Linked DNA regions of Tribolium castaneum. The protein of the gene in region 1 binds, or shares a complex with, the protein of each later gene. Links are inferred from orthologs where the notes say so. Each region holds a gene or a part of one and is shown in the gene's direction. Other genes may lie near its edges.

Evidence for each region.
Region 2: Cc2d2a (region 1) and transmembrane protein 231 share a complex: the UniProt entries of both Homo sapiens proteins name them as parts of the tectonic-like complex. The link is inferred for Tribolium castaneum from reciprocal best matches to the Homo sapiens genes CC2D2A and TMEM231.
Region 3: Cc2d2a (region 1) and B9 domain-containing protein 1 share a complex: the UniProt entries of both Homo sapiens proteins name them as parts of the tectonic-like complex. The link is inferred for Tribolium castaneum from reciprocal best matches to the Homo sapiens genes CC2D2A and B9D1.
Region 4: Cc2d2a (region 1) and Mks1 share a complex: the UniProt entries of both Homo sapiens proteins name them as parts of the tectonic-like complex. The link is inferred for Tribolium castaneum from reciprocal best matches to the Homo sapiens genes CC2D2A and MKS1.
Region 5: Cc2d2a (region 1) and transmembrane protein 17 share a complex: the UniProt entries of both Homo sapiens proteins name them as parts of the tectonic-like complex. The link is inferred for Tribolium castaneum from reciprocal best matches to the Homo sapiens genes CC2D2A and TMEM17.
Region 6: Cc2d2a (region 1) and B9 domain-containing protein 2 share a complex: the UniProt entries of both Homo sapiens proteins name them as parts of the tectonic-like complex. The link is inferred for Tribolium castaneum from reciprocal best matches to the Homo sapiens genes CC2D2A and B9D2.

Annotation. Positions count from the first base shown.
Region 1 is NC_087394.1:21,750,270-21,754,408, reverse strand, and holds the start of Cc2d2a (coiled-coil and C2 domain-containing protein 2A), read left to right. Parts: upstream 1-1,339; 5' UTR 1,340-1,395; coding exon 1,396-1,410; intron 1,411-1,461; coding exon 1,462-2,099; intron 2,100-3,957; coding exon 3,958-4,098; intron 4,099-4,139. UniProt on the Homo sapiens protein: Component of the tectonic-like complex, a complex localized at the transition zone of primary cilia and acting as a barrier that prevents diffusion of transmembrane proteins between the cilia and plasma membranes.
Region 2 is NC_087398.1:6,906,697-6,909,863, reverse strand, and holds transmembrane protein 231, read left to right. Parts: upstream 1-1,315; 5' UTR 1,316-1,398; coding exon 1,399-1,546; intron 1,547-1,596; coding exon 1,597-1,766; intron 1,767-1,816; coding exon 1,817-1,945; intron 1,946-1,997; coding exon 1,998-2,223; intron 2,224-2,270; coding exon 2,271-2,530; 3' UTR 2,531-2,562; downstream 2,563-3,167. Other genes in the region: mitochondrial import inner membrane translocase subunit Tim21, read right to left, coding at 2,563-2,667. UniProt on the Homo sapiens protein: Transmembrane component of the tectonic-like complex, a complex localized at the transition zone of primary cilia and acting as a barrier that prevents diffusion of transmembrane proteins between the cilia and plasma membranes.
Region 3 is NC_087399.1:9,020,794-9,023,435, reverse strand, and holds B9 domain-containing protein 1, read left to right. Parts: upstream 1-1,299; 5' UTR 1,300-1,455; coding exon 1,456-1,693; intron 1,694-1,739; coding exon 1,740-1,949; intron 1,950-1,999; coding exon 2,000-2,100; 3' UTR 2,101-2,142; downstream 2,143-2,642. UniProt on the Homo sapiens protein: Component of the tectonic-like complex, a complex localized at the transition zone of primary cilia and acting as a barrier that prevents diffusion of transmembrane proteins between the cilia and plasma membranes.
Region 4 is NC_087401.1:10,813,135-10,817,251, forward strand, and holds Mks1 (tectonic-like complex member MKS1), read left to right. Parts: upstream 1-1,324; 5' UTR 1,325-1,387; coding exon 1,388-1,464; intron 1,465-1,508; coding exon 1,509-1,886; intron 1,887-1,934; coding exon 1,935-2,160; intron 2,161-2,208; coding exon 2,209-2,742; intron 2,743-3,337; coding exon 3,338-3,574; 3' UTR 3,575-3,617; downstream 3,618-4,117. Other genes in the region: rhomboid-related protein 2, read right to left, coding at 1-523, 571-1,043, 1,089-1,157. UniProt on the Homo sapiens protein: Component of the tectonic-like complex, a complex localized at the transition zone of primary cilia and acting as a barrier that prevents diffusion of transmembrane proteins between the cilia and plasma membranes.
Region 5 is NC_087395.1:14,182,041-14,184,590, forward strand, and holds transmembrane protein 17, read left to right. Parts: upstream 1-1,213; 5' UTR 1,214-1,265; coding exon 1,266-1,347; intron 1,348-1,391; coding exon 1,392-1,495; intron 1,496-1,545; coding exon 1,546-1,659; intron 1,660-1,770; coding exon 1,771-2,043; 3' UTR 2,044-2,050; downstream 2,051-2,550. Other genes in the region: ankyrin repeat domain-containing protein 27, read right to left, coding at 46-175, 223-388, 442-636, 821-843; glycolipid transfer protein, read right to left, coding at 2,109-2,291, 2,342-2,492, 2,537-2,550. UniProt on the Homo sapiens protein: Transmembrane component of the tectonic-like complex, a complex localized at the transition zone of primary cilia and acting as a barrier that prevents diffusion of transmembrane proteins between the cilia and plasma membranes.
Region 6 is NC_087394.1:33,825,128-33,829,164, forward strand, and holds the start of B9 domain-containing protein 2, read left to right. Parts: upstream 1-1,237; 5' UTR 1,238-1,476; coding exon 1,477-1,564; intron 1,565-1,712; coding exon 1,713-1,838; intron 1,839-1,891; coding exon 1,892-2,174; intron 2,175-2,220; coding exon 2,221-2,254; 3' UTR 2,255-2,579; intron 2,580-2,630; 3' UTR 2,631-2,861; intron 2,862-2,915; 3' UTR 2,916-3,069; intron 3,070-3,122; 3' UTR 3,123-3,322; intron 3,323-3,370; 3' UTR 3,371-4,037. Other genes in the region: serine/threonine-protein kinase VRK1, read right to left, coding at 1-344, 393-687. UniProt on the Homo sapiens protein: Component of the tectonic-like complex, a complex localized at the transition zone of primary cilia and acting as a barrier that prevents diffusion of transmembrane proteins between the cilia and plasma membranes.

The DNA of each region.
Region 1 (4,139 bases):
CCACCAAATTTTTCAAAATTTGTAATCGAGTTTGTGACGGAACAAATTATGTGAAACACACTGTATATTATACAGCGTATTAGGGAATGGTTTAGCAAAAATTTATAGGTAGATAGAGAATGGCAAGACAAATCGTTTAAGCAAAATTTATGTAAATCAAAAATGCATAGTTTTCCCAATAAATCGTCTTAAAGTTAAAGTCCCAAATTTTGAGAACCGCTAAACTCGAATTATAAAAATTAGCGTAAATTGTAATATTATTGACAAAACAGGAGAGGTAAATTAACTTCTTGGTCCACTACGTTATTCTTCGTTTTAATTTGTGTTTTGTTATAAAATTTTACAAAAAAATATTGTTTTTGCCAGGAACGGGACTCGAACCTCCCACACAAATAAACATACAGCGTGCTCAAAAACTGGCGCACCAACTCAATGGTGTGTGGTAGAGAAGTGGTTACATATAATGGTAAAAATAGTAAAAAAAATCTTTGTATTAAAGTTATTGATGAATAACTAATTTTAGGTAAATGATATGTGGCAACGTTGTCTAACAGTCATGATCGCAATAGAATTTGATCAACAATAAAAATAAATTATTTTTGAAACGGTTTCCTAGGAAATAATTCCCAGTGTTGGCACATCTACACATTGTGATTTTTTTGATGAATTATACTTTTTTTAAATTAAAAAAACTGCTAAAATCTGATAGTAAATTTTAAAATAATTATTCATCGTTTTGTTATGGAACGATTACCTGGTATAAAACATAGAAATATAAAAAAATAACGAAAACTAAAGAAGTTAACACAATAAGTTTGTAGCTCCAGATTTTTTAAAATATGACTTTAGGAATTTTTTCAACATTTTTCCCGTAATCTGCACTTGCTTCTCAATAACGTACTACTGAGTTGGTGCGCCAGTTTTTGAGCATCCCTGTATAAGCCACAATTTTGAAAAAATTTCAAAACGCCCATGCGCCACCATCTCCATTTTGTTTAATGAAAAAATTAGCCGCTAATAAACCACCAAAAAAAAACAAGCGGGTTAATAAAAATTTCTAAAGAAAGTAAGCACTTTTTGGAAAAATTAAATAAGGGTTTTTAACTCGTCTGATCATGACAACTTCACATACGAAATATTGCTGAGCTATTCCCTAACACCCTGTATTGCTAAAAGTTGTTGTCAGGACCCTGAAATGTATTCAAGTTGTACCATTAAATGTAAAATTCCGAATGGACAACTCAACTTTGATTACTTTACTGCACTAGTTTAATTTTCAACCAAATTCCGTTATTGATCGAAGCAACAAGTGGATATTATGCAGTAACTAAGACACCAAGAATACAAACAAACAAACGATTACAAGAATCGTTTGTGTTACTCGCAGTCACAACAATGTCAATTTCGCAGGTAAATTAAAAAATACTGTTAAAATTTATTCATTTATTATAATCTTGTTAGGATGACATCAGCGAACTGAATTCCCCTATAAAACCAGTACCTAGAAAATCCAAAAATCGGAACAAGGTAACTTCTCCAGTGGAGCAATCGCCCCTTTCCAATCCTTCAAAGAAAGATGTTTTCGAAATGTTCACAATCAAAACGCCCTCAATCCAGGGAAGGGCCAAAGTTTTGACCTCCGACAGCCAAGACACATCCGAATTATCCGACGAAGTCTTCACCAAGCCGAAACCAGTCTCACTTTCAACTCCTAGTAAATCATACCGAGAAAAAATTAACGCAAGGTTCAAAAATGTAAAGGAAAAAGCTGGGAAATCCACAAAGAAGGCAAACGTTTTCAAGGAAGCTGCAGAAAATATTCGGTTAGAAAAAGTGAAGAGGGAAAGTCACGACATCGACGCCGAGCTTGAATTAATGAGAGAGCGTCTTAAACTGGGAAAACCTCCAGATAACAAGCACATTTTCGAGTTTTTTTCTAGTGAAAAATGCCACGAAACTGAAGAGAAAGAAAGTGAAGACAATTTTCAATCAACTGACGATCTGACCGACGACGGACCCGCACTAGTTTTTTCATTACCTAAGCAAATAAAAACGCTTCTAAGGAAATCAGAAGACGCGTTATTTTACACTCCTCAGGCGTAAGTAGCTGACAATACAGGGTGTTAGGGAATGGCTTGGCAATATTTCGTATATGAATTTGTCCTGGTCAGACGAGTTAAAAACCCTTATATCCAAAAAGTCCGTATTTTCTTCGGAAATTTTTATTACCCCATCTGTTGAGAGCCACTGTGGGGCTTATGGCGGTTTATTGACAGTTATTTTTTTATTAAACAAATGGAGATTATGGCGCATGGGCATTTTGAGAATTTTTCAAAATTGTGGCAAACATGTGTGGGAGGTTCGAATTCCGGTCCTGACAAAAAACATTTTTTGTTTTTTTTTGTAAAATTTAATCACAAAACACAAATTGAAATAGAAGAATAACGTAGTGGACCAAGAAGTTAATTTATCTCTGCTGCTGTGTCAATAGTTCTATACAATTTTTCCAAAATCTTTGAATCGATTGTGTACCAACATATATTTAGTTCTGTAAAAAACTTTATTTCTTCTTCGCAACATGGTTTCTTGTATGAAAGATCTACAGCAACATATTTATGTTGCTTTACAGAATACACTTCCTGATAACCATGGTCAAGTAGACGTACTTGATTTATCCAAAGCGTTTGACAAACGCGATCATGGCATTTTAGTCAGTAAATGAAGAGACATTGGTTTTTCTGATGCTTTGATAAAACTTTTAAAGTCATATTTACATAACCGACAATTCTTTGTGTCATACAATGGCTTCGCGTCTAAGAAGTGTAGTGTCCCATCTGGTGTACCACAAGGGTCTAACTTGGGACCACTTCTTTTTTTATTGTTTATAAATGACCTACCGGAAAGTCTTAACTGCGAAACACTCTTGTATACTGATGATGTTAAATTGTATTCTGAAATTAAGACACTACAGGAATGTCTCACTTTACAATCCAAAATTTCAAAATTAGTTAACTGGTGTAATTTAAACAAACTTAAATTAAATATCTCTAAATGCAAAATTACTTATTCTAAGAAAAAACATCCACTTAAGTATGACTGTAAAGTAGATCAATCAGTTTTGGAGCAGATACGGTAGCTGAACTTGGTATTTTATTTGACACAGTAAGCAATGTAATAATATTGTAACTTTGAAAACTGTCTATTTTACATTAATAAGATCAAAACTTGAATATTGCGCTCTCATATGGAATCCTTTTTATGAAAGCCATAAATTACATTTGGAAAATTTACAAAAAAAGTTTCTTAAATATCTATATTTTAAAACCAAGGGGAATTACCCTTATAGAGGTTTTCCATATGAGACGCTTTTGCGAATGTTTAACTTGCCATCTCTAGATATGCGAAGAAAACAACTTGCTTTAACTTTTTTATTCAAACTCATACACAATCAGATTGACTGTTCCTATATTCTAGGTAAATTAAATTTCTTAAAATAAAAATAAAAATCTCCTGTGTCTGCCATGTGTAGGTGTTATAACCAAATTTGTTCAGAGTGTGATATTTTTTGTTGTTCTTTGTCTAACTTGCTGCGTCTTGGCTCTTAATATATTGTATTTTTTCATAACTTTTTTTTTCTTATTATATCGTATGTTTGTATTTTTCTTTATTATAGTTTATATTTAATATTTTGTTTATACTGTTTTGTAATTATTTGGTAATTTCTATTATTGCGTTGTATTATAAACAATAAAGCATTTATTTACTTAGTAATAATAAAATTTACGCTAATGTTTACAATTCTAGTTCAGCGGTTCTCAAAATTTGAGACTTTAATTTCAAAACAATTTTTCAGGAAAACTATGCATTTTTGATTTACATAAATTTTGCTTAATAGATTTGTCTTGCCATTCTCTATTTACCTTTAAATTTTTGCTAAACCCTAATTCATCTAATTAGAGAACCTGTTGACATCACTGATAAAATCGAGACTGAAGAACCCAGATTTTTGGAAGATGAAGGCTTTTATGTCACTTCCAGTCCCAAAATACCTAACAAGCATTTATATCTTTTGGAGCAGCGTTTGTCATGTGACGATAAGTGAGTAGTCATTAAAAGATTTCAATATTTCTCAATTTATT
Region 2 (3,167 bases), on another chromosome or scaffold:
CGAAAAGCTTAAAATAACTGTTTTGTAATAAATAATAATTATTAAAATTGACCTTTTCAATTGCTTTACTATACTCGTAGTTCAAATTTCATTTATTTTGTTATGGTTTCTTAGACAGATTTGAATCAATTTAACCATTATTAAGTATATAAAGGTTATCTTAATTTTTTTTAACGATAAAAATATGTTTTAAGTCACATCAGAGCAACTGTTGTATTCAACTAATTAGAAGTTCTAAGAATTATAAAAATTTTGATAAATTGTATTAGTCTGCGCTAATTAAATGTCGTAACTAATTCCACTATAATTTTAATAAATTAAACTAGATATAGTATTTATTAATCATGTAGTATTAAATTATTGCCATCTTTTTTTATTTAAATACATTTCCAAATAAAGAATATAAATTGTTAAAGTATTTTATAAATGGTGAAAAATTGTGACCTAGTTTTACGATTAATATCTACCGAATAATTAATTTTCTTGGAAAACCAAGTATTACACATTTTTTCTTCTTCAAGTGTATTTAACTGGAAAAACCAAATAACGCAAGAATTAAGTATGTCATTGCCAATATATAGATATCGTTACTCATCAAGTCATCATTCATCAACCACCAATTTGCCCGGTATCTTTTGATGAAATCTGAAGAATTAAATTAAAAAATAGTAGAAGAAAATGTTTTCTCGAGCAAATTTGCGGATTTTTGAACTAAAAATATTTGCGTTTTACGTGAATTATTGCAATTATATAGTTTGTAATGTTGGTTTAGTTAAAAAATTTGTGTTAAAATATCTGCAAAACACGGTCAGTACCTGGGGCCTCGTGGCCCAGTGGTATAAGCACCACTTACAACGGGGGAGGTCGGGGGTTCGAACCCGGATCAGGTGTAACAATTTTTCTATGAAAAAAAGTGTAGAAAAGGTAAGGAAACAACACGTAAACAAAAATAAGAGATTGAGAGAACACATAGGCGTATAAAAGTAAAGCGGAGCTTAAAACTGAGAGAAATAAAAAAATAATGCGGCAAAAATGTAAAAGAACGTAAAGGCGCCAAATTGTAAACGTACTTTTTGTTTTGAGAGAAAAAGAAATGAACGTAAAGGTTACTTTTATTTGTTTATAACATAAACTGCAGAGGAAATCGATGTACAAAATTAAGGAAATTACACGTTTTAAAGAAAACAGAGAAAATTAAACAAAATCAGGATTTTTTTAATATTCTCATAATGGCCGTTTTTTTTGTTTCCGTTACCTTTTTTGGCAGTTCGGTCATTGCCCTAGCATTTTCAAATTACCCACACAGTCGTCGTCATGACAACCTAATTGTTTGTATTCAAAGTTGACAGGTAAACAAATAAAAAATTCGACCAAAAACCACAAGACGTAATTTTTGTGATGTTAATGATGGTAGTTTTAGAAGTTTTTACAAAGAATATAAAAATTTCTTATAAAAGTACTCTTCTATCAAAAGCATCGGTGCTAGCCCTAATTTTTGGGGTCTTATCGCTTGTGTTACCATTTATTTTTGCATACAAAAGCAAGGGTAAGAAATTAATTTTAATAAATTAGATAGTTCTGATAGCAAATTTTCAGGCTTGTGGTTAAAAAGAGACACTTTTTATGAACAACCGGATGTAAAATTTCGAGGAGAATACATTTTTGTTGCTACTACGAATAATTACAATAAGTCTGTTATAACGTGTAGTAATTTACCCCACTTTGATAATGTATTGCGGCCTTTAGATACTTGTTCAGTCATCAAGGTTTTTTTTTTCAGTTTTGTAACTATTAATTTACATATTGTGCCTTTTAGGTTCGTGAAACTGACAGAAATTTTGATGGTAAAACAGAAGAATTAGATTTGTCTCTCCAAGTTAATCTTCCAGTTAATACTCACCTCACGTCTTTTTGCATAATCATTCCATTTAATTATAAATTACAAGTAAGAAATTCGAATGTGTTCTTTTTTCTATATTTCTGTTTTTTTCCAATAGGTTTGTCCTCTTGAAATGCAGACTGCCATTATTTTTCAAGAATTGTTACCATTTTATATATCGAAGTATTCATTGGTGGCTAATGTGGTTGTGACCCAAACTAGCCCCTTAATTTGCCACAGAAAAAACACCAATACGTTATTTAATTATCCTGTGATTGTGGATAATGGGGATTTAAATAACTATGACATAAATACCATTATCACAAACTTTTCAAAGAGAAACAGTATAAGTTAAAGAATCTACAAAGCAATAACTAACATATTTTTTCAGTATCCACATCATTGAGAGACGTCTATAAAAGTTTTTCTCCTGGAAAAACTCAAAATTTCGTATTAAACTTAAATATAGAATTTCCAGAAGACAGGATATACTACAAGCCGGGCTTTTGGCAAGTACTGAAGTGGGCCTGGATCCAGTACCTCTCACTTTACATAATAATCTCATGGATAATTGCAAAAATAAAGCACTATATTTTTAGCAGGAGATTAATACTGTTTTTTGAAGAAAATCCGGTGAAGAAAAAACAATAAAAATTTAACAAACTTTATTATCATCGTTTTATTTACAACGTCAAGTCTAGTGGCTCTGAAGACGAACTAGAAGACGAAACTGCGTTCCTGTTGTCTTCCAGAACAATTGCTGTTTGTAGGAGATCGTCCACTTGAACCAGGGTGGTGAAACCTAAATGCACCAAGCCAAGTATAGGCGCCAAATTCAAAATCGACTGTAGTTCGGCTTGCTATCGCAGATGTCGCACACACGTATAGTCAATTTTAGCGAAGCTACCTATAATATCGGCAGAAATTAACAGTGGACCTGTGACAGTTGCCATTGTGTAAATCGCCATTTTGTGCTTGGTTTGTTTGGTGTTCGCCCTCGGCTTTGTTTTATGTGAAATTAGTACTGTTTTGTGGTTTTTTTCGTGTGTGTGCTTTTTTGAACTTTTTTATTGTGGGAATATAAATAATTTGATGGATCAATCATTAGTTTATAGTTATCGTATCGTGTATATTGACTAGTGATAATAAATTTTTATTACAAGTTTATTGTCTTTATTTATTCTCATATTTTATTTTTCGTATTCTTTGTAAATATTCAGCAACAATAGTTGTCTAACATCAGAAAGTGTTATTAGCAACTATTGTTGTGAATATTTACAAACAATAC
Region 3 (2,642 bases), on another chromosome or scaffold:
ACAAACCACTCTTCATGGTTAAAAAACACATTTACTTAAAATAATTTTTGAAAAAACGTGACAAAATAAAATATTTTAATGATAGAAGTCACAGCTAGAGGGCGTGTTGAGTTGTTGTCAGTGGTTGTGGTTTTTGAGGCGGGTGCGTCGATTGTGGCTGCAGTGACATTTTCCCGCACATGATACCAACCAAATGGGAACAAAACTTATTCTGAAAGCACACTAAATTTGCTCATGCGTTCCGTGTCAGGATAGTCGGTTTAGTGATACTGCCATTTCGGTGGTGCTAAGTACAATGTCACAATAAGTCAGTTTAATGTTAGAACAAATTTACGTAATTAAAAATATTTTACATATTAATGTGAAACTTATGTAATGGTAAAATAGCTGTCTAAATTTAGATTTTTCTAGGGATAATAATTTTTACCAAAACAGCTTCGATTGTACACAGTTTTTATAATCAAACAGCTGTTTTTACAAGCCGGACGTGAGGTGATGGGTGGCTTTGAGGCACTCGTCGCTTCGTTCGTGTTTCAATTTTTTGTACATTATTATTATATTCATCGTATTGATAAAGGAATAACTGCCAAAGATTCATGATTTGATGCTTGGAATAAGACTGGAAGTTCGAATGCATGTCTCATTTAATATTTCATGTAACTTTACGATAAATGTCAATGTATCTTTATCAAAAAACTTATTTTTAAGTTACGGTTTTTCACGTACATCGACACAGGCCTTGCCTTCTTTCGACTTCTCTTCTAAGTTACGCTTCATTATTTTGTACATTACCGCATCCACATGTAAAAATTGTACCGCATTATTTATTTTTACTGTCTAGAATTATTTTACGTTATGAACTGTATCTATAGTGAAGTTATGTAAGTAAATATCCATTTTCAGAACTTGTGTTTTATTTTACATTAAAAATCCCACCAGATGGCGCTTAAAACTTACTTATTACATTCAAATACCTCCCTGCGTCCCTGATACTTTTGATAATTTTGACTATTTTTGGTAAAATTTGGAAAGTATTAGGAGTGGTATTAGGATCACAGGAACACGAAGAGGTGTCCGGCTTTAAGAGGTATAAAATTTTGCTAAAATTTGGAGTTGTCAGGTGTTTCAAACATTCCGAGTTAAAAATTCTGGCAAATTTTGAAATTTCTCTTGGTACCAGGATCACAGAAACGCAAAAAGTAATTCAAATTTTATACTACAAAAATTCCACCTGATGGCGCTCCAAACCTTACAGGTTTCTGTAATTTTGTGGTTCGAAATTTCTAAAGACCTCTTTGCGTTCCTGTTATCCTGGTCCTAGTAATATTTTCAAAATTTAGCATTTATTTACTGCTTCGAGTTAGAAAACATTTGCCAAAACCCAATTTTCCATTTTCTTTGATGATATAGATGACATAAGTTACCATAGCAACCACAATACAAACAGCCCCCACGATGTCCGACGGCACCTTTCTGGTGTCTTTAACGGGCCAGATTGAGTCTGTCGACATTTTAGCCCCCTCGGGCTCCGCGTGGCACTGCAAGTACGAGTTTGTGACAGGCCCGGACTGGAAAATAATCGGGGGGCTCGAGGCCGGCGTGTCCCAAACCTCCAACGTTGTCGTGAACGGAGCTTTAGTAGTGTTCAACCTTCCGATTGAGATTAATTTCAAATCGACGAATCTTTACGGATGTGAGTTCGAAATTTTGCATTTTGAGGCGTTCAATTGTGGTTGCAGGGCCCCAAATTGTGGTTAGTGTGTACCGGGGGGTGCAGCTGGAGGGGTACGGGCGGGCGCACATGCCGCTGAGGCCGGGGATGCACCGGGTGGACGTGGCTTTGGGGAAGCCCCAAGCCAGCTCGTTGTTGGGGTACATGGGGGCGTTTTTCGGGTACCAGCCCGAGTTGTTGCAACCGAAAATGTTGGCAACTACTGCCGGAAATCACTGTATGTTTGTCACAACACGCAAAGATTTCTAGTTCTAGTTTTGGTTTCAGTAATTCAGATGTTGAGTCATGGAGAAGTGAGGATTTCGGTGAATGTCGTAATGCAAGGTGTGAGGAGTCTTGGATATGATTTCGGGAGAGGAAAAGACTAATTTTTGTAACGATTTGGGTCAATAAATATTTTTTTACGCACAGCTTACTTGATTAATGAAGGAATGGTTTATAATTTAATTTAATATAAATATTCGGTTTCAATTGGTTTTCTGTCATCAAGCGATCAAATTAATTTATAATCGAGTTATCCATGAACTTGAATTCCTATGTCATGCGATTGTAATGCTTACATAAGGTGACCAACTATAGAACACCAAAAATATAATTATGTTTTTCAAAAAGTTGGCCGAGATACTAAGTTTATTTTTTATATTAATAAACAGCAAAACAAAAGAAAAAAAATTACAATTCAAATAAACTAAAACGACATTAAGTCAACAAAAGAATGCTTCAATATTTTTTTTATTAACATTATTATTGTATCCAACGTCGCATGTATATTTTTCTATTCTTTATCTACCTTTCTCTTTCACTTGTCTTTTTTAACCTTTATTTCCTTCTTCCTTTTGTTTTTTTACTGATTTAATCAATTTTCTACCTCCTGTCTTGTATAGTCTGCTATTTTTTAATTATATCAGTT
Region 4 (4,117 bases), on another chromosome or scaffold:
CCGTTCCCGACTTTTCAAAAAATACTCAGGCCAGGCAAAATTCCAAATGATTGCGATTGCCATCAGGAGACAATACGTGACGATAGAGAGCCACCAAATGACCCGTTCGACCGTTGTCACTTCTAGGTTTCTTAGGACGTTGAGCCCCACCAAGAGCCCGGCAATAGCCCCCGCAAAGTGGGCCATGTACCCGATATGTTCGTCCATTTCGAGGAAATACCGATTGTAAATGGCGGTCCCAATGTCGGAGGCCATAATGATCAAAAAAATAAATAACTGGACGATGGGGAACGACATTTCCCTCCAATTCATTATAATGGTGGCTATATGTGCCGTGATGAGGGAGTAGACCCCACCGCTGGCCCCCGCAAGTCTCACGGTGGGGTCGGCGATTGAGGTAGCAAGCGACCCGGCGAGGACCCCCGCGAAATAAATGAGGAGCACTCGCCACCACCGGTGCACCATTTCTAGCGGAGTCCCCAGTAGAATTTGCACCAAAAGATTGACAAACAAATGGAAGGCTCTGCAATTAATTGGGTGGCTAACGTCGGTCAATTGTTGATTAATTACCCAACGTGCACAAACATGTAAGTGATGAACCGCCAAGCCTCCTGTCTCTTGTAGGGGTCGTAGATGAAGACGGAACTGATGGGGCCCGAGGCCGATTTGGTCGAATCCGCCTCGATTGCCTCATCCACACAGAAAAAAATGACCTCGATTAGCGAAATAATGATCATGCCCACGGCCGGGGGGTAGCAGGAGTACTGGTCGTCGTAGGCCCCGTCCACCTCGCTGGCGCCCCGTCGGCGGGGCACCACCATCTGGATGTACCTGTTGACATAGTGCCCGAAAACGTACTGGAGGTCCGGGTGGTTTATCATGTCCACGAATTCGGTGAAATCGATTCGGTCGTCGTGGTTCTGATCGGCCATTTGGTGGATTTTCCGCACGACGTGCTCGGGGATGTCGTGGTCATATTCCCGGCTCTCGATCAGGTCATTCAGCTCCCCGATGTTGATAAAACCGTCATGGTCCCGGTCGTACTGAAAGCGCAGTTTGGGTGATTGCTACTAAACTGGGGGGCTCACTTTGTCGAAAATGCTGCGGTAGTAGGCGTTTTTGCGGCTGGCTTGGAGCGGCGTCTCCGAGTTGGCCATGGCCACATAACCTCAATTGGCGCACACACACAATCACTGTTTACGTTACTAACACTCGTGTTACTACATGTTATCACTTATTATTATTATCACTTTTGTTTTGTTAATTATCATTACACGGTTATGTTTTGGTAACTTTGGGCCCAACTGGGGGAATTCCGCGCCTGGCAGGTTTGAAAAATGGCGCGCGGCTAACGTCATTGTTGTGATTCACGTGTAAAACACTTAAAATGAGTCAGGAGGAGACTTTGGTCAAATACACGGCAATTTACAGGTGCTCGGATGACATCACCAACTTGAAAATAAGGTAAGTAAAGACACTACGTACACAATTAAAGTTCAAGGTTCAAGAGTGAAGTTGCGCCAAGTGGGGGATTTAACTGGCGAGGATTCGGACGGTTGGGAGCAGAAAGACTTCGCCTGGCAACAGAAATGCTTCAGCAAGTCAGAAAGGGAGTACTACAAGGACGAAAAAAACTGTATCACAGATCTGGAGAAAAAGTACCATTCGGACGTCGGGGAATCACACACTGAGGCGCATTTTGACCTGTTTTCGTACACCAATGACGACGATTTTGCCCTCAAACAGGAAGTTAATGACAATTTCCGCGAAAATTGCGACGAAAATGGCCAGGGGTACGACTACGGCCAGTCACTTGTGGCAGCAGTGCGAAATCCCATTGGTCATAATTACGAGTTTGAGGTCATGTACATCATGGCGGACCTCGGGTAATTCCCCCGAAACGTCCGAGTGACTATAAAGCGATTTGTTCGTAGCGAATACATCGATTCGACTTGGCTCAAGCAGGAACAAGTCCTGTGTGTCGTTAAATACGACCGGAAGTACAAAATATTATCAATTAACCCCGACTTTACCAAATCCCAGCCGTATTTAATCCGACTTGAAGGCGCCACAATTCGCAAATATCACTATTTCCTTGAGAACGTTTCGGCCCAAATGCCTGAGGAAGCCCACCGTCGCGAAAAAGAATTAATCCGAAAAGTGTGTGTTGTATTATCCCCGAATTTATCTTATTTAAAGAATTTGCAGATAAATGGCCACAAAACCGAGCTTTTGAAATGTTTGAGTTTCAAACTTCCCGCCAAAAACAAACTGGCCGTTCATTTGTTCATGGAACTCGCGTGGGCGCAATATTTCGAGTATGGACCAATCTACGTCCAGTATTTCATCGACTTGCCGTCGGATTGGTCCCCGACTGACCAATCGCAACTGCAGGGCGTGACGCAAACGTGTCACGTGACTGGCGATGAGGGTTTGGCCCATTTCGGGCACGTTTTCGACGTTACGTTAGAGTACAATATCGAGGATTTGGGCAAAAGGGGAATCCCCAAGTGCCCTTATATCTACTTTGAGGTTATTTCGAAGGACACTTGGAGTCGGTATAGGACTGAAGGGCTGACTTATAAGGCCTTGCCCGTTGCCAAGCCGGGGAATTACCGGTTTAACCTACAATGTTTCCGGTTAATCCCCGACCGGATTTCCGGTCAGTTACGCCGGTTTTTTATTGGCGATTGTTCAAGCTATGGTGACTTGACTTGGGTGGGATTACCGAAACATTACGATGTGAGTTGACTAAATGAAAGGTTACTAAGGCTTAAAGCGGGCTTAAGCCGACACCGAGTGTTGCTCATTTAGGTTAGGTTTAACTAAACCTCGGCTTATTGCTAATATTTTTAATAAATTATTATTGTAGATAACATTATAATTTTGTTGAAATTGGTCAATTTTGTTCAATAGTATAAACTAACACTAGAAAGCAAAAAGTTACTTGCTTGCATTGGATGAAAAAAAAAACAGCAAAAAAAGTATAATGATAATAATTCACTTATTCTTATTCCATCAATATATTTTATCAGTATTTTTTTTATTGTAGGACAAATTTTTAAACATGAAATAAATAAATGCCGCATTTTATTGATACATTTTTAAACATAAGATTTTTATTATAACGATATTATTGCTACAATGTACCGAAATATTGATAAATGGTGACATTAATGAATCTTAACCTAACTTTTTAAAATCAGAACTGTCATAAGTGCGCAAGCGTGCAGTACTACCAACCGCAAAGTTAAGTTCAGCGCGGCTTAGCTGAGCAACACTGCAGTTTAAGCTCAGCTTAAAATGGCGAGCTTATCTAAGGAAATTTTTTTTCCAGGGGTCTGTTTTAAATAAATATGGGACTAACACGGTTGGTACCGGTCTGATCAGCGTGACCGTTCACGTCGTCCATCAAAGCCAGGCGTTTCTGGACAAATACAGAGAAAATTCCGAGGAAAATTTGGAAATTTTCGAAAAATTGAACTCGTCAAGTTTGGTCAAAAGCGTGGAGCAAGTGCTCCAAGCGTTCAAAAGGGCCCGAAAAAACATGATTGCGGCCCGGAAATTTTTATAATTGTTGTTTTATTTTGAGAATCAATAAACGTGGCAACGCCGCACTAGGTATAAACCAAAATCGATATATCTGGGCGAGGGACGATCGGACCGGTTCGGGTCACATCGGGCGACTTCGGGCTGTCTTTATCCATGTTTTAGCCCCAAGTTTGGGCTTTGGCCCCATGGTGTGCCTGGAACTGGCTTCCAGTTCACCCCTCTGTCTTTTGGGATGCTCTGGGGGGCTCAAGTGCCGCTCGAGTCTTAGCGAGGTCCCCGTGGCACGGCCGCCCTGTTGCCACGCGTCCCCCGTTCATGAACCTGTCTCAAATTGTAACACAGTCGCCTATTTTGCAAGTCATTGACACGTCGCTCCTTCGGGGGTGCCATCGATAAAATCCATTCCTGTAATTTCTCTCGTCACGTGACTAATAATTTCAATTTTTAAACAATTCGTCTATTTGTGACCGGATCGATAAGGCGGCCATGGCAACTCTTTTTTCTTTTTGGTAGTTTTTGCAATTGTGTTGGTACTTCCCCAAGTCGGGATTGGGGCCAGGCGTAC
Region 5 (2,550 bases), on another chromosome or scaffold:
AATTAAAAAAACCTAGTACATACAATAAATCAAGATGCAACTTACCTGACCTTTCTGAAATTACTGAAACCATCGCTGTCTTTATTTCCGCAAATACTAAATCGTACGTACTGCACAAACAGTTCATTTTCTCGTTGGGACTTTTATATTTGTCTATAACCGACAATTCCACAACCTAAAAAAAACATTACACGCATCAGTTAAAAAAATATTTTCAATTACGGCAGCACATAACGGGATACTATAATTATCATCAGCGCCAAATTCCCTTGCCGAGACGTTAATTTTGCACAAAAATGAGCACCGTTCGAAGAAATTTTCATCTTCTCGGAACAAATTCGCTTTAATGCATGGCACGACCAAATCGTGGATTTTATCAAAAATAATCCTTGAAATCACCAATGAAAGAACAAGTACAACAAATTGCCTATAAATTATTACCACTGGAAGGCCGCAAAGTTCCTGGGATTGTTTTGTTCCGGGAATATTTCTGTGTATAATTTGTAAACCAAGTCAGTTATTTTTGGTACCAGATCTGGATAATCCCCATGGTTGGGTAAATCCCACGAAACTATTTCTTCATCAATGTAGTCAAAAATGTTTTCGTGTGTTGATTTCACAAGCAGTTCTTCAGCTCTAAAATTATTTTAGCAATAAGTTTTCAGTCCAGTGACTCAACAATGACCATGCTATTTTTTATTTGTGATAATATAAAACTTTGTTTAAATTGTAAACTAGTAGCTAATAAATGAAACAATTCAAAAAAGATTAAAGGTAATAAATACGAAAGGTAAGTGGTGCTAAAATTAAAAATACTCACTGTTTTAAGTCTCGTATTTCCATATTTATTATTTCTGGTAGCTTGTATCACATTGTTTTAGGTATGTGTACTCAACAATAATGAACGACCTTCGTTGCTTACGTAATAACATTTTATCTGATAACTTTTCGGATAACCACTTGTTATTGTTTGAAGATTTTCCTCCGATACATATCTGTGATCATTTTTTTGTTAGCTTAAAACTTATGAGAATAACATCAATCGGACAGAAAGAATAAAGTTAAAAAAAATGCAAAAATAAACACCTGCAGTGGTCAATACCAGCAAATGTGGGGGATTTGATTACGGTTTCCAAGCAACTCAACCCCAAGTTAATACAAACAAAACCAGATTATCAATTTCAGGACATAAATGTCCAACAATCTGTTAACAATCAGAACATTAAAAATAATCTTGACCTTGTTGTTTGCTCAAAATATTCATTATGGATTGGAAGGAAACTGTGACGTCAGTGTCTGATAAAGTGTTTCCAGGCCTTTCGCGTAAAATCGATAATGTTGTTTATGGTAAAAACATGCCTGGTTAATTACGATTCCTTAAGGCTTTTTAGGTAACGAAGTTATGTCAAATTTGCCGCTGCAGATGTCGCTCTATTTCAACGTGATTTTCGCGCCATTTTGGATGGCCATTCTTGTGCTTTATTTAAGGAATACAGTAAGACTAACTACGAAAAACTACTAAATGACTCGAAATACCAATTCCAGTATCTCTGCTTTAGCGAACTGTACAAGTTTATTATCATAACGGTCATTTCGACAGTTTTCCTTTTGGAAATGTTAAGACTCTATTTAGGGTACAAGGGAAATCTTGAGGATAAAGTAAGTTAATGATAATAATTGAGTCGGCAGATGCAACCAATATTACACATGTGCACAGTTTGTTGAATATCACGGCCACTTTGCGGACGATTTAAATAAATAAGATTGTAGATTCCTGAACTGGCGGGCTTTTGGATGTTGTCCTTACTGCTCCAGTTTCCTCTACAAGGTCTTCTGTTATTCAATCCTAACTTCAAATTGCATGTTATAGAAATAATAGTGCAAAGTATCATGTTCGTGATGTTATGCATTCAGTTGGTGTCAAGCTATTGTGCTTTGAAATTTACGGCAGCGCAACAAGCAATTTACTTTCGCATTATGAAATTAAGATCAGATGTGACGCTTGCAGATGTACAAGAACGCTACCGAGTGAATAAAAAATGAATCTATACCAAACGTTTTATTTACAACTGGAAGATCAACAAATATAAAATTTCTAAGTACAACAACTAGACCCTATCATTCGTCTCGAGATCATGCTCTTGGTAGAAATCCACCAGCTTCTGAACACATGAGGACATCCTGAGCGTGAACTGTCTCATATCACGCAAAACGTGGTCCTCCTTGTGGTGCTTCTCGAGCGCGAGTTGGTAGAAAAGCTGTTGCCGGTTTGGGGTAAACCGTGACAAAATCTACAACTTGTTGGGATAAGCCACAATTTTTGAAAAAATGACGAAAGTACATTAAACAACTGAGACCCCAACCAGCCGTGGTACCGCTCCAGAGTCTCCTTGTACGCGTTTTTCACAAATATGGACAAATCCTGCGTGTTATTATTATTGTCGGAGTCATCGATCACAGACTGGAAGAAGCGCGAAATGAAATGAAGGGCTCTGAAACGATTTATGCATAAGTCTCCCAAAAAGGGGCTTTTTACCGCCGCAGCCACTG
Region 6 (4,037 bases), about 12 Mb from region 1:
AGTGTAGCCGCTTGATACTCGTGTGCAGCCGCTTGACACTCGTTTACAGACGGTTGGTTTGGGCTTATTTTGGTTACTTAGAAGAATATTAGATGCCTTGATATCGGAGTGCATGTAGCCTTTACTATGGATGTATTCCAAAACATCAATTATTTGGAGGGATATTGTGAGCACTGTTTTAAGGTTTAGGATTTTCTTCTCTTGGAGGACTTTTTCCAAGTCTCTGTCAAATTTCGGGAGGATTAAGAAACGATACTTTTCACCCTTGTGGACGTGGGAACCTGACGCCACATAGTGGGGCATTCCGAGGGAACTTATATTCTTTGCTCGCTTCCACTCTTCAACTAGAAACGATTCCAATTATGCGATTTTTCCGCAAATTATTGACTTACTCATTTCGCGTTTAGCAATCCTTAGGTAACAATTGACTTCGACAAAAAGCGGCCCGTTTTTATGGCTTTCCACCTTAGCCACGTACTGACAATCAGTCTTGACCTCTTTGGTGAGGACATCAGAGGCCAGGTAGATCTCCCCAAAGCCCCCAACACCCACAGGTTTCCCCAATTTCCACTGCTTCCCTGTGATGTCTTTTAGGTACTCCCCATGTCTTAAATCAAAGGAGTTGCTGCAAGTCTTCTTTTTGGGGGGATCATTCTCCGAAGAACTGTTGTTAGCACGTCTCGGCATTATTTTAACGAAAGTGTGAAGTCTATAAACAATCTACAACATGGAGGCTTGAGATTTTCGCTCGGTTTCACTTGAGATACCTTACCCTGCCTAATTCATGTGATTACCCAAACAGAGGACCCTTCAAGAAGAAACGTTTTTTTTATGTAAATAACAACAAGATTTCAAAATCAAACGACATTTCCCCAATAACCTTATCATTTACATAACGACAACAGCAAGGTCAAGTGGCACGTCCCGGTTGTAAACAATAAGAAACAATACTTACTTTTCATACAACAAGTTAGAAAAGTGGTAAAAACTGTTATTTTGCCAAAAATCAAAAGGTGAAAGAAACGTCACTGACAATTTTCACGGCCATCTTCACGTTTCGCTCAATTGAAACGCCTCCTGATTTGTCGATAGCGCGCACGCGCACTGCAATTTCTCACTGCTTTTGCGCACAAGTCATTAAATAAAAAACGGGTTTTTGCGAAAAGAAAATTAAATTTGGGAAAAAGACTACCAACAGCCTTGTTGGCAACTGATGAATCACTCATTTTGTTGTCTATAACAACAATAATTGCAAAGAATCCAATTTGTTGTATCAAGTCATGGGAGGCTTATTTTTTATTCCTACACAAAACTGACCCCCGCCCTTAAAATATTTGAAAATCGTTGCTAGGCAACCGGAAAACAGTATTGTAAACAAAAATATTGTTTTTATGTTTGGCATTTTCTTCAGGTGGTTCTTTTATTTCAGTTTTGTTTGTTGTGAAAACAGTTATCATTTGATGGTATTCTGGCCTTATGGCAGAAGTGCACATAATTGGGCAAATAACTGAAGCCAAAGATTTTCCAAAGCAGAATTTGTTCTGTAAATGGTATCTCCAAGTAGGTGAGGTTCTCTTGACTTCTTTTCTTGATTTTTGTATCAAACAGACGCTTATTTTGCCTTTTCGATAAGTATTTCTATCGTTTTAAGACTAAAATCGACTGCTCTGTCAGTCAGTTCATGTTTATTTTTATTATTATAAAATTTTAAGGTAATAACTGGAAAGTTATTTCTGGGAAGAAGGAAGGTCAAACTCAAGTAACATCACCTCAGTTTGGTAAAGTTTGCAAGTGGTCTTATCCAATAGATATTCACCTAGCCACTGCTGGACTTCAAGGTTTATAATTTTTCAAAAAAGTCGTTTATTTTTTTAATGAGTCCGAATTTTAGGTTGGCCTAAGATTTATTTGCAAGTTTATCACTTAGATTGGCTAGGCCGGAGTCACATTTTCGGTTACGGTTTCATAACAGTTCCTACAACTCCCGGGACCCATATTTTGGACTGCTACACTTGGAGACCATTTGGTACAATAAAAGATCGTTTTGTGCAGTATTTTCTGGGAGGTGGGTATCAAATAAAAAATCCAGACTTGATCTTCTCTTCGGGGGAACGTTATAAACTCTCTACGGAGGCTATGGGAGTTGTTTCATTTGAACTGTGTGTTGTACTTAGGTAATAATAAGGCACAAAACAGTAATAATGACGAGTCCTTGTTCAGAAATTTCAGCAATTATGGAGTGGAATATGAGTAAACTACTTAACAATTTACCGACTGTTTTAATACTGTGCGTTTTGTTAAAAAGCACAAGTTTAGAAAATGTGACCACAACCCAGTCAAGTGAAACAAATGTTAAAAAGGGCACAACGTCACCAATTGTGTCCACAACCGCTGTTCCAACAACTACTTGCAAAGCCAACAGTTCTTGTTTTGCAAATTCAACTAATAATTCAGTAACTGTTCCTCCAACTCAACAAACAACGGCTTTAGTCACAACCCCGACTCCCGCGAGCTTTTTTCATTTTCATATAAAAACATCGGAACGATCAAGCAAGAATTTGTGTATTTGTGATTTAACTGTAAGTATCTATATGTTCCCTAATAAATTATATTTTTACGCATGATTTTAGATCGACTACTGTGATCTGAATTGCTGTTGCGACAAAGACTGTTCCTTAGAAAATAAACTTGTGTTTGATCATTGTGAAGAAGATTTCCGTCAATATGATACTAGATATTGCCAATACGTAAAACATATTTACGTTAATAAGACACCTCATGAGTTTCAAATTAACCAAAACGGACTATTTTGTATTGTGCGTAGTAATTTACCAGCAAGTTACATAGTCCAAAGAAAGCAAGTAAGATAAAGTCTTAAAAAAATCATAAAAATAATTTTACAACTTTAATTCCAGCCGTTGAAGTCATTACAAGATGCTCAATTCGAGAGACAAAATAAATTTAATTGGCCAAAGCCTACACATGAAGATAGTCAAATATTCAATTATTTCAACTATACTTATGGAAAACCTTTATTGATTTTAAGAAATAACACAATTGAAAACTTACGTTAGTCTCCAAATCTTAAATCAATAATCTAAATAACCATTTTTCAATCGTAGAATTTCTTAAGAGTTTTGTGGTAACTAGTTGCGTGGTCAAAGAAGATATAAAATATTTAATTGACGTCAAGAGCAGCTGTAGTCATACGAACATATCCGCAGATAATTATTATCTAAAAGCCGACACATTTTTCAGAAACATGACAATAATTGCAAATCCTGGTTTGCTAAATGTGTCTAAACACAAAAATTTTCTCAAGGTAGGTACTATACTTTTATGGAAACCAAACAGACTTATTCCTTTCCAGAATTGTACAAAAGATGTTTGTCTAAATGTTCGGCCAAAAATATGCAACGAAGACTTTGAAGACTGCGTCCAAATATCGCCAAACGACACGAGAATAAAATCGAGCTGCAAAGTTAACATTGCAAACAACGAACTGTTTTGTATTAATTTAGTACAAAACGTTAGATACAATTTTTATCATAATGGTAGCAACGGTTTGATAAAAGTCGAACTTTACTTGATTCTGAAAAGTGCCACTTTTTATTACCACCAGGAAATGGAGTTTTCCCAAACGATTGAAGTTAATTTTATTTGGTGGAACCATACTTTGAACTATTCATCGCACCTTAGTGGAAATCCGGGATATTTAGTTGGCAAGCCAATCTTAATCGCAAATATCGTTTCTATAAATGTTCCTATAAATAATACGAACTCGACTAGCAATGCAACAAGTTACAAACAACAATTACAGCTATACCGAAATCCTTCGGATTTTACCGAAAATTTCCTCGTTTTGCCGTTTGTAAATTCAGAGGGTGTGTGCGTTCTAAGTAAACACAAATATACTCCGATTGAGTTCGGTTATAATATGTATCTAAGATGCGAAATTAATGATTATATTTGGATCAAAAATCTCTCGGCGAAAAATGTATGCATTGCCGTACAGAACACAGTATTCAAATACTGGG